2 linked regions of the Arabidopsis thaliana genome follow. The protein of the gene in region 1 interacts with the protein of each later gene in a biochemical or structural test. Each region holds a gene or a part of one and is shown in the gene's direction. Other genes may lie near its edges. The genes, in order: WDR5a and BZIP28.

Evidence for each region.
Region 2: the proteins of WDR5a (region 1) and BZIP28 form a complex in vitro, tested with the Arabidopsis thaliana proteins (one study listed by BioGRID).

Annotation. Positions count from the first base shown.
Region 1 is NC_003074.8:18,411,692-18,416,443, forward strand, and holds WDR5a (Transducin/WD40 repeat-like superfamily protein), read left to right. Parts: upstream 1-1,872; 5' UTR 1,873-1,998; coding exon 1,999-2,664; intron 2,665-3,244; coding exon 3,245-3,532; 3' UTR 3,533-4,022; downstream 4,023-4,752. UniProt on the Arabidopsis thaliana protein: Forms multiple COMPASS-like complexes involved in histone methylation by interacting with different histone H3 'Lys-4' methyltransferases such as ATX1, SDG14 or SDG16.
Region 2 is NC_003074.8:3,377,427-3,382,372, forward strand, and holds BZIP28 (Basic-leucine zipper (bZIP) transcription factor family protein), read left to right. Parts: upstream 1-1,741; 5' UTR 1,742-1,899; coding exon 1,900-3,475; intron 3,476-3,552; coding exon 3,553-4,004; 3' UTR 4,005-4,195; downstream 4,196-4,946. Other genes in the region: AT3G10790 (F-box associated ubiquitination effector family protein), read left to right, coding at 1-943; AT3G10810 (zinc finger (C3HC4-type RING finger) family protein), read right to left, coding at 4,422-4,495, 4,593-4,946.

The DNA of each region.
Region 1 (4,752 bases):
TAATTTAAACTATTGCTAGAAAGTTGTTTAATTCTTATTGATTATTTTCTCACAATTTTGTAAAATTTTCCAAATAATATCATTATTTTGATGATACTTTCATGACTTTATTTTAAGAAGAAAAATATAGAAAGTTATATACTAATAACACAATAATTTAATTTATTAAACAATCATTGATTCTTTTGTTTTAATTGAATAACACAAAACTTTTAATGACTTTATAAAAGTATGAATCCAATAACTCCAAATTTATGAAGATTTTAAATTTTTTTTTACAAATTTTAAACTAATAGTACCAAACTTTAACAAACTTTTAAAAATATTAATTTGATAACAACAAATTTTACATAATATTTTAAGTTAATAAAACTCAAATTAAATCACAAACCAATAACACTCCCAAAATATCAATTTAACGTCACAAGTACAAGATTGAAACTCATTAAATATGTATGATGTATCCTACTATATTATTTGGGAAGTACATTTTAAATGTAACCTTAATTTTTGTAATTAATTACATGACAATGCCATTAGAAAAATTTAATCAAAAACAAAATCTTTTAATAACACATTAAGATTACCAAAATCATTTAACGACAATATTCATCTCTTAATTATAGGCTTATTGGATTTAAAGACGGGTCATCAAAGATTTTCTAACTAAAGCAAAATATACTGAATATTCAAATATCTATCTATTACCAAATTATAAACAATTAAGTTCGTAAAACAATTTAATATTTTATATACGAAATAAAGTAAATCTTAATCACATAAAAATTAGCACAAAAAAAAATATGGTACATTCAGGTCTATAGTATTTTTGCAAGACTTTTTTGGTGGATTTGGGTAAAAGTGCATTCGGGTCATATGGTACATTCACCTATTAAATAAATATGGTATACTCCTATGTTATTAGCTAAAATGTTTAGATTATAATTCAGAGTCATATCATAAATAAAATTACTATTAATAAAATAAATGGCTTTTTGGCAAGACGGATTTGGAGGGACGGGTTTTTGAATCAACATTAATAAAAAAAGTAAAATATAATTAATCCACCATTTCAATACGGGTTAAATCTTTAATTTATTATTTTTTAAGACCACTAATATTAAACATATCAAATCATCCTAATTTAGAAAAAATTATATAAAACCAAAAATGTTATGTGGTATGTATAATGTTACTATATATAAACTTAAACTATAAAATATAAATGTATTAGAGAATGATACAATTTGCAAAACTTTTATATAGAATAAATAATTCTTAAATTTTAAAAATTACTACTTTAAAAAAAAATCACGGAACGGGTAAAGAAATTACATAACGGGTTTTATTTTGGAATTGGGTTATATGGTGGATGTATTTGAATTAATATTTATAAAATTTTAAAATATTATTAATATGTTGTTTTAATAGGGGTTAAAACTTCAGTTTTTTAACAATTGTCTCATGGATTCGTGGTATAGTGTTACTTAATAACAATTATAAACTGTAAAATATAAATATTTTATAAAAATAAAATTTGCAAATTTTAATATATATTACTTTTAAAAAATAAATCATCCCCTGGTATACCGAGGGTTAAAATCTAGTCCATGATTGTTACGGCATACCAAACTTACATGATAACTAAAGAGTCTTAGGTTAAAACTGTGGTAGTCAATATATGAAGAGTGTTGTTGATTTAATTTGCGAAGCAAGAAAGAACTAAAATTTTAAGACATTCCAAAAGACTCTGTATCATTCTGAAGGTTTGAGCTTGGAAAGCGAGCACGTGAGTCGCTCGTGAAACTATATAATTTACGAAAACTCTAAATACACCCCAATAGTATTATTTCATTCAAAACACACCCCACAATTTATTTAAAAGAGTCGGGGTTTTTCCAAGAACACTGGATCGTCGTCTCTCTCCTTTAGTTAGACAAAGCCTCCTTTCCCAAAACCCTAAAATCAGCCAAATTCAAATTCCGCTAACCAATTTCCATGGCAGAGGAAATTCCAGCAACAGCATCATTCACTCCATACGTCCATTCACAAACTCTAACATCTCACAATCGCGCCGTCTCCTCCGTGAAATTCTCCTCCGATGGACGTCTCCTCGCATCCGCCTCCGCCGACAAAACAATCCGCACTTACACAATCAACACCATTAACGATCCAATCGCCGAGCCCGTACAAGAATTCACCGGCCATGAAAACGGTATCTCCGATGTTGCATTCTCTTCAGACGCGAGGTTTATAGTCTCAGCTTCCGATGACAAAACCTTAAAGCTATGGGACGTTGAAACTGGTTCATTGATCAAGACGCTTATTGGACACACTAATTACGCCTTCTGTGTCAATTTCAATCCTCAATCAAATATGATTGTATCTGGTTCGTTTGATGAAACTGTTCGGATCTGGGATGTCACTACTGGAAAGTGTTTGAAAGTTCTTCCCGCGCATTCTGATCCTGTTACTGCTGTTGATTTTAATAGAGATGGGTCTCTCATTGTTTCGAGTAGCTATGATGGGTTGTGTCGTATATGGGATTCTGGGACTGGTCATTGTGTGAAAACTCTGATTGATGATGAGAATCCTCCTGTTTCGTTTGTTAGATTCTCTCCTAATGGCAAGTTTATCCTCGTTGGTACACTTGATAACACGCTGGTGAGTTCACTTGTTGAATTCCTTTCAAAGATTTGATGTTTTTAGTGTGATTACTAGTTTTGCTCTATAGTGATCTCGAAAAAAAGCATGAAGATTTTGGGTAGAGTGTGTTAGTAGAAGTTTGATGTAGGAGAAGCCAATTCAAAACTAAGTTTACAGAGAAGTTGTTAGCTTTAAGTATAGTTCTGTTGTTGGTTGATATTCAAGAGTTTCGAAGGGTCGTATCTAGAGGGTTGTAGCTTCGAAGATACATCGTCGTTTGGAGTTTGATTAATTTGCATTAGGAAATTAAATTCTTATGATTCGTTATTAATGCACTCATCTCTCCATGAACTTAGATTCTAGGTTGTGTGTTAATAGAAGTTTGATGTAGGAGAAGCCAATCCAAAGCTATTTTTGCAAAAATTGTTATCTAGTTAAGGAAAAGTTGATAGCTTTGGAACAGTTCTGTTATTGATCGAGATTCAACACTTTTGAAGGGTCGTATTTAGAGGGTTGTAAGATACATCTTCTTTTGGTGTTTGCGTCTATAGGGTATTGTTGAATAAAGGAATTCTCATGATTCGTTATAAATTTGCAGAGGTTGTGGAACATTTCGTCTGCTAAGTTCCTCAAAACATACACTGGCCACGTGAACGCACAGTATTGCATTTCCTCTGCGTTCTCCGTCACAAATGGAAAGCGAATAGTCAGTGGATCCGAGGACAACTGTGTACACATGTGGGAGCTAAACTCCAAGAAACTGCTACAGAAACTTGAGGGTCATACTGAGACCGTCATGAACGTAGCATGCCACCCGACAGAGAACTTGATCGCATCAGGCTCGCTCGACAAGACAGTAAGGATTTGGACACAGAAGAAAGAATAAATCATCACTCTCTCTCTTCAGAAATCAAACATGTAGGTACATGCCACCTTCTTCATGCAGTAATCATCTGTTGCTTACTAAGCTTGTTAGATTGATTCTAGCCTCATTATGTAAAAGTCTAATTTTTGTTTGGTGTAAGGGAAGTGCAACAGACTGTTCTAAACTTGTAATAGTTCTCTGTGTGACTCAGAACTATTTAGGTAGGTCTTAAGGCAAAGACTCCTGCAAGTGCAAAGGCATTTGAGAGAATGAACACAAATCTTCATAGGTTTACCCTTTACTCATTGTATCTATTAAGCTGATGCAATGCTTCACCAATACTATTGGTTATAAAGTAGTTTCAGGATTGAAAATTGTTCATCTGAACCATATTGATGGGTGGCTCATGGGTCAAAGTACAGATATATGACTATAAGTAGATAATGTATGGTAGTTGGTTACTTTGGTTGGCCATGATGATGAAGCTTATGGTCCCCTGGTCCTGTCCCATTTTTTACTTTTCATTTTCACTTTTATCGTAAAGTCTTCTTTTTTTTAAACCCTACAAGATTTTGAAATGGACCACTTGAAAATTTGAACCCACTCTCTCTTTTTTTGTTTTCAATTTCGAAACCAAAATTTTTTAACAAAAAGATGACTTTGTGACCTTTGTTCTGTCTTTTAGCTACACACCAGTGGGCTGTTTGCTTTTACAGCGTGTCTTTCTGTTTACATGATTCAAGAGAAAGCAACAGTTCCTAAAGACTCAGTCATGTTTGTGTCTCTCCCAATTGATACAAAGACCAAAATTCAGCTTTGGTTCTTTTGTGTAAAAGTTCTCGAGATATGCTAATAAGATTAAACATAAAAACTCTCAAAAAGAGTATAAATTGAATTCTTTATGATTGTAGTAGCAAACAATAATTGTTAGGTTTAGTGCTATCATAATAATCTATTAGTCAGGTTAAATATATTCGATTTGGTACCAAATACGAAATCAAGCTTCAACAAACGAATCTGCAATACACACACACCCATCCAAAAGTATATCTTCGACATTTTCCCCAAAAAAGTATACATTTCCTAACACGTGCTTACCAATTCTTATCATTCGAAGTAAACCATTAAACAAGAAATGTTTTCATTATTATAAATTTTTCACTAATATAAGTTTATTATTTAGTGCAAGAAAGTGCGTTGCAGATGAAAACTTATTCTATTGATCCGGGTCCATAAAGAAG
Region 2 (4,946 bases), about 15 Mb from region 1:
GAAAAGAACCATCAGTAACACTTGGAAACTTGTTACAAGGTCCCAAACTGACCCCTTTGAAGGAATGCCTCTGCATCTGAAAGAGAAGATTCTCATGAAATTGAAGGCCAAAATCATATCGACGTTCATCCTCCTTTCCAAGTCCTGGTCATCGATAGTCCTTAACAAAGATTTCACCAACATGTATTTGATAATAAAGTTCTTTGAATCTTTGAATCGACCACGTCTTCTTTTGGCAGTCGACGATCGAGAAATAAATATGCAGTTCTTCCACTCTTGCTCTCGAGAGGATCCATCTTCTGATCATCAAACGGTTGGCTGTTACCCTGATTCGTATCCGCGTATCTGGTATGACTTTTCTCCACCTGTTCGTGGCTTGATCTGCTGTCTAAACAATTCTACTAAAGTGGTAATTGGAAATCCTACTACTTGTCAATTTGAAACTTTACCGAGAGTCAGAACCAAAATATACCAAGAAATATTTCCCTTCTTTGGATACGATCATGTTAAGGATGAATACAAAGTCTTGTGCATGACGATATCGGATGAGTACTATAGTAGATCAGGAAATATTGTGTCCAAGGAGCATAAAGTTTTCACTCTAGGATGTAAACAGAAGAAATGGAGAATGATCGAATGTACGATTAATCATTATCTTACTCCTGGAACTCAAGGAATATTTAGCAATGGGGTTATCTATTACTTCGCTAGGGTCAATGATGATCAGTCGCTAATGTGCTTTGTTGTGGGGTCTGAAAAGTTTAGTGTCGTTGAGTTACCGAGGCCGGCCGTCGAAGTTCTAGCGAACTACGGCGAAAAGATAGCTGTAACGAATTTGTTATATGCTAGTAATGATAGACTTTTTGTATGGATTCTAGAAGATGCCAGCAAACAAGAATGGTCAAACTTTTGTGTCTTGGTTCCTTCTTGGGTAGATATATAGATTTCGACCATTCAGCTTCACGGGTATACTTGGAACCGGCGAGCTTATATTTACACCGGGCTTAAAGCGTGGCCCCTTCTATTTACTGTGTTACGATCTCAAGGAACACACAGCTAGAAAAATCTGCTTCAAAAGAATTGGTTATTATACTTCTTTGAAAGTCTTTTTGGATCATGTAGAGAATCCTATGGTTCTGCCAAAGATAAGGCAATCGGTTGGTGATGAGTTCTTTGGTGTTGCATGAACTAATCTCTCTTCTTTCTTTTCTTATTTTTCAAGTTTCAATTAAGTGGTCGGATATTATTTGTTTAAGACTAGTTCTTATTGGATTTGATGGTCACCCATTGGTTAGTCTTTTGATCAATGGATATTTATGTCTGTGGAATATTGTAATGCAATGTTTTTTTTCTCAACATCTTTGGAATGCAATGTTTATGACTTAACAAGAAAAATGTTTATGACTTGATTATAATAATCTCTGGTTTTGTGCGGAGCTTATACAGCTTCGGTTTTCTTCTTATTTGATTTCTTTTGGGGAGAACAAAGAGTTTTGTGTTTGGCTAGATGGATCTTTATCATCATTTTGGTCGCCTTTTGAATTTTATTTCATAAAGAAATCTTATGTATAAGAAAATAAAACTAATATCGATTCTGAAATAGCAAAAATACCTCAATATTTTCACTAAATCATAAAACGAACTACATTCATCATACAACACATTGTAACATTTCACCATTAATTTCTTAACCCAAGCAACAAGCCAATAAGTAGATAGTTTTTGTTTGACTAAACATACACACGTGTTCGGAGTTTGATGTACACGCGCTGACTGCGCGTGGATGTAATATAATCTTAATTCTTAAGTATATTCGTCGACGTTGCCTTGTTCCAAAGTTATAAACCGTGTGGAACCATCGAGAAGCGAAGCCAGAATAAATTTTCGAATCCTCCGACGATGACGGAATCAACATCCGTGGTTGCTCCTCCGCCGGAGATACCTAATCTGAACCCTAGCATGTTTTCTGAGTCCGATTTGTTTTCTATTCCGCCGCTAGATCCTCTTTTCCTATCTGATTCTGATCCGATTTCAATGGATGCGCCAATCTCCGATCTCGACTTCTTACTCGACGATGAGAACGGAGATTTCGCTGATTTTGATTTCTCGTTTGATAATTCTGATGATTTCTTCGATTTCGATTTATCGGAGCCCGCGGTGGTGATCCCTGAGGAGATCGGTAACAATCGTTCGAATTTGGACTCATCGGAAAACAGAAGCGGCGATGGAGGTTTAGAAGGAAGATCTGAGTCTGTTCATTCACAGGTTTCATCTCAAGGCTCCAAGACTTTTGTGTCCGACACCGTTGACGCATCATCCTCCCCTGAATCAAGCAATCACCAGAAATCTTCTGTTAGCAAGAGGAAGAAGGAAAATGGAGACTCCAGTGGCGAATTAAGGAGCTGCAAGTACCAAAAGTCCGATGATAAATCAGTCGCTACGAACAACGAAGGTGATGATGACGACGACAAGAGGAAGTTGATAAGGCAGATTAGGAACCGTGAAAGTGCTCAGCTTTCGAGGTTGAGGAAGAAGCAACAAACTGAGGAGCTTGAAAGAAAAGTGAAGAGTATGAATGCTACCATTGCTGAATTGAATGGTAAGATTGCTTATGTTATGGCTGAGAATGTCGCTTTAAGGCAACAAATGGCTGTTGCTTCTGGTGCTCCTCCTATGAATCCTTATATGGCTGCCCCGCCTTTACCGTATCAATGGATGCCGTATCCGCCGTATCCTGTTAGGGGATATGGATCACAGACACCTTTGGTTCCCATTCCTAAGTTAAATCCTAAGCCTGTCTCGAGTTGTAGACCGAAGAAGGCAGAGAGTAAGAAGAATGAGGGTAAAAGTAAGCTCAAGAAGGTTGCTAGTATTAGTTTTATTGGAATTCTCTTCTTTGTCTTCTTGTTTGGTACATTGGTTCCTTTTATGAATGTAAATTTTGGAGGAGAACGTGGAAGCTTTGGCGGTTTGTCTAAATATGATGGCCACCGGTATTACGATGAACATAAGGGGAGGGTTTTAATGGTCGGCGATGGTTCTGATGTTAGAAGAAATAGTGGAATTTCTGAAGGAAATATCCATTCTAGTAGGATTAGTCATGGTGAGAGAGATAGTTGTGGAGGAGTAGATTATAATGCTCATCCGAAAGTAGAAGGACGACCAAGTTCGTTGAGCAATGCCAGTGATCCTCTCTTTGCTTCTCTCTATGTCCCAAGAAACGATGGGCTTGTGAAGATCGATGGGAACTTGATAATTCACTCTGTTTTGGCGAGCGAGAAAGCAAGGGGTTTAGGAAAGAAGAATATCACTGAAACAGTAAAAACTAAAGAACCGGATTTGACCATTCCTGGTGCACTGTCTTCTGCATTAGCTGTTCCGGGGGTAAGAGGAAATGCAGCAATGCTTCCGCATTCAACAGCTCTCTCTTCTGAAGGGAAAAGACTTCACCAATGGTTTCATGAAGGTGGCTCAGGTAATTCTTGTTCTCTATGTAGTTTCTACTAAATGGAGTGATCTGGATTTTCAACTCTACATTGCATTCTCTTGCAGGGCCACTAATGGATTACAGCATGTGCACCGAGGTTTTCCAGTTTGATATTGCTCCTGGTGCTATAGTCCCGTCATCAGTCTCCAGCATTTCTGCGGAGCATCTCCAAAATGTCACTACCCACGGCAAGAGAATGAAGAACAGGAGAATCCTTGAGGGACTTCCTGTTTCACTTGTGGCGTCAGAGCTCAATATCACCGGAACCCAGCCAAACAAAGACGCTCAAAATAAGACCTTTAATGGAAACACTAACAAACCCACATCATCATCCTCCATGGTTGTCTCAGTGTTACTTGATCCAAGAGAGGTCGTTGACTCTGAAACCGACAGAGTGGTTCCCCCAAACCCAAAATCACTTTCCCGGATCTTTGTGGTGGTGCTTCTTGACAGTGTCAAGTACGTTACCTACTCATGCGTTCTTCCTCGATCGGGTCTCCATCTCGTAGCCACCTGATTTGAGCTACTCAGATCTTGACCTTAAGTAGGCGAACATTGACTTGTTTATACATACAGACCTTGTTGACTTTTTTTCCCTGTGTTGTATAACTCTTATGTTCTAAGGTTTTGGATTTTAATTTTGAGATAAGCATAAAGTGGAATCCTTGTTTTAAAGGCATTTCCAATAGCTTTAGGCTGTATAATACATCCGATGGTTGCAGAACTTTTCTAATTTAGAAGATATAATATACAAAAGAAGCTCTTAGAGCATATATATTCAATTGGGACTTAAGTAGAAGGCTGCACCCTTTTGTGCAGCATCATTCTATAACAACTCTTCCGGTTCTGTATCTAGTTTCCATATGAATTCATTTTATACATTTAAAAGTTTTGAGTACTCTGTCGATACAGTTTACTAGACATGTTAATGTCGTTATTCATGAAGCCAGGCCACTATCAGCATGAGAAGGACAATCCATGGCATAGCTGGTAAAACCTCAATCGCTGCTGCCAAACACAGAAAGAAGAAGGCATTTGATTAGAATTGGGAGTCTATGATTTGATATATCTTTGCTAAATTGGAAGACTTTAAGTAGCAACTTACATGAAGAGGACTGCGGTTGAGGATGAGCAACTTCGTTTGCATGTGGTTCCCGTGGTTCCGTTATGGGTGGTTGAGCTGCATGGGCAAACACCACATGTGGTAGAGGGGCAGAGATTGGAACTATATGAGACTTGGCTGCAGAAATTGGGGCCGGTGAGTGCAGCTGATGATGTGGTGCCCCAGCAGAAGGAGCAGGCGCAGGTGTGGATGAAAACTGCACGCGTTTCTCCTTGAAATGTACTCTATTCCCTGGGTTGCAGGGTGGAGGTGCAGATGGAGCTCTCTTACGGCTTCTGTGAGGAGCAGGAGAGGCCACAGGTGAAACCTCGGGAGCCATTTTCGGGCTAAGATTGT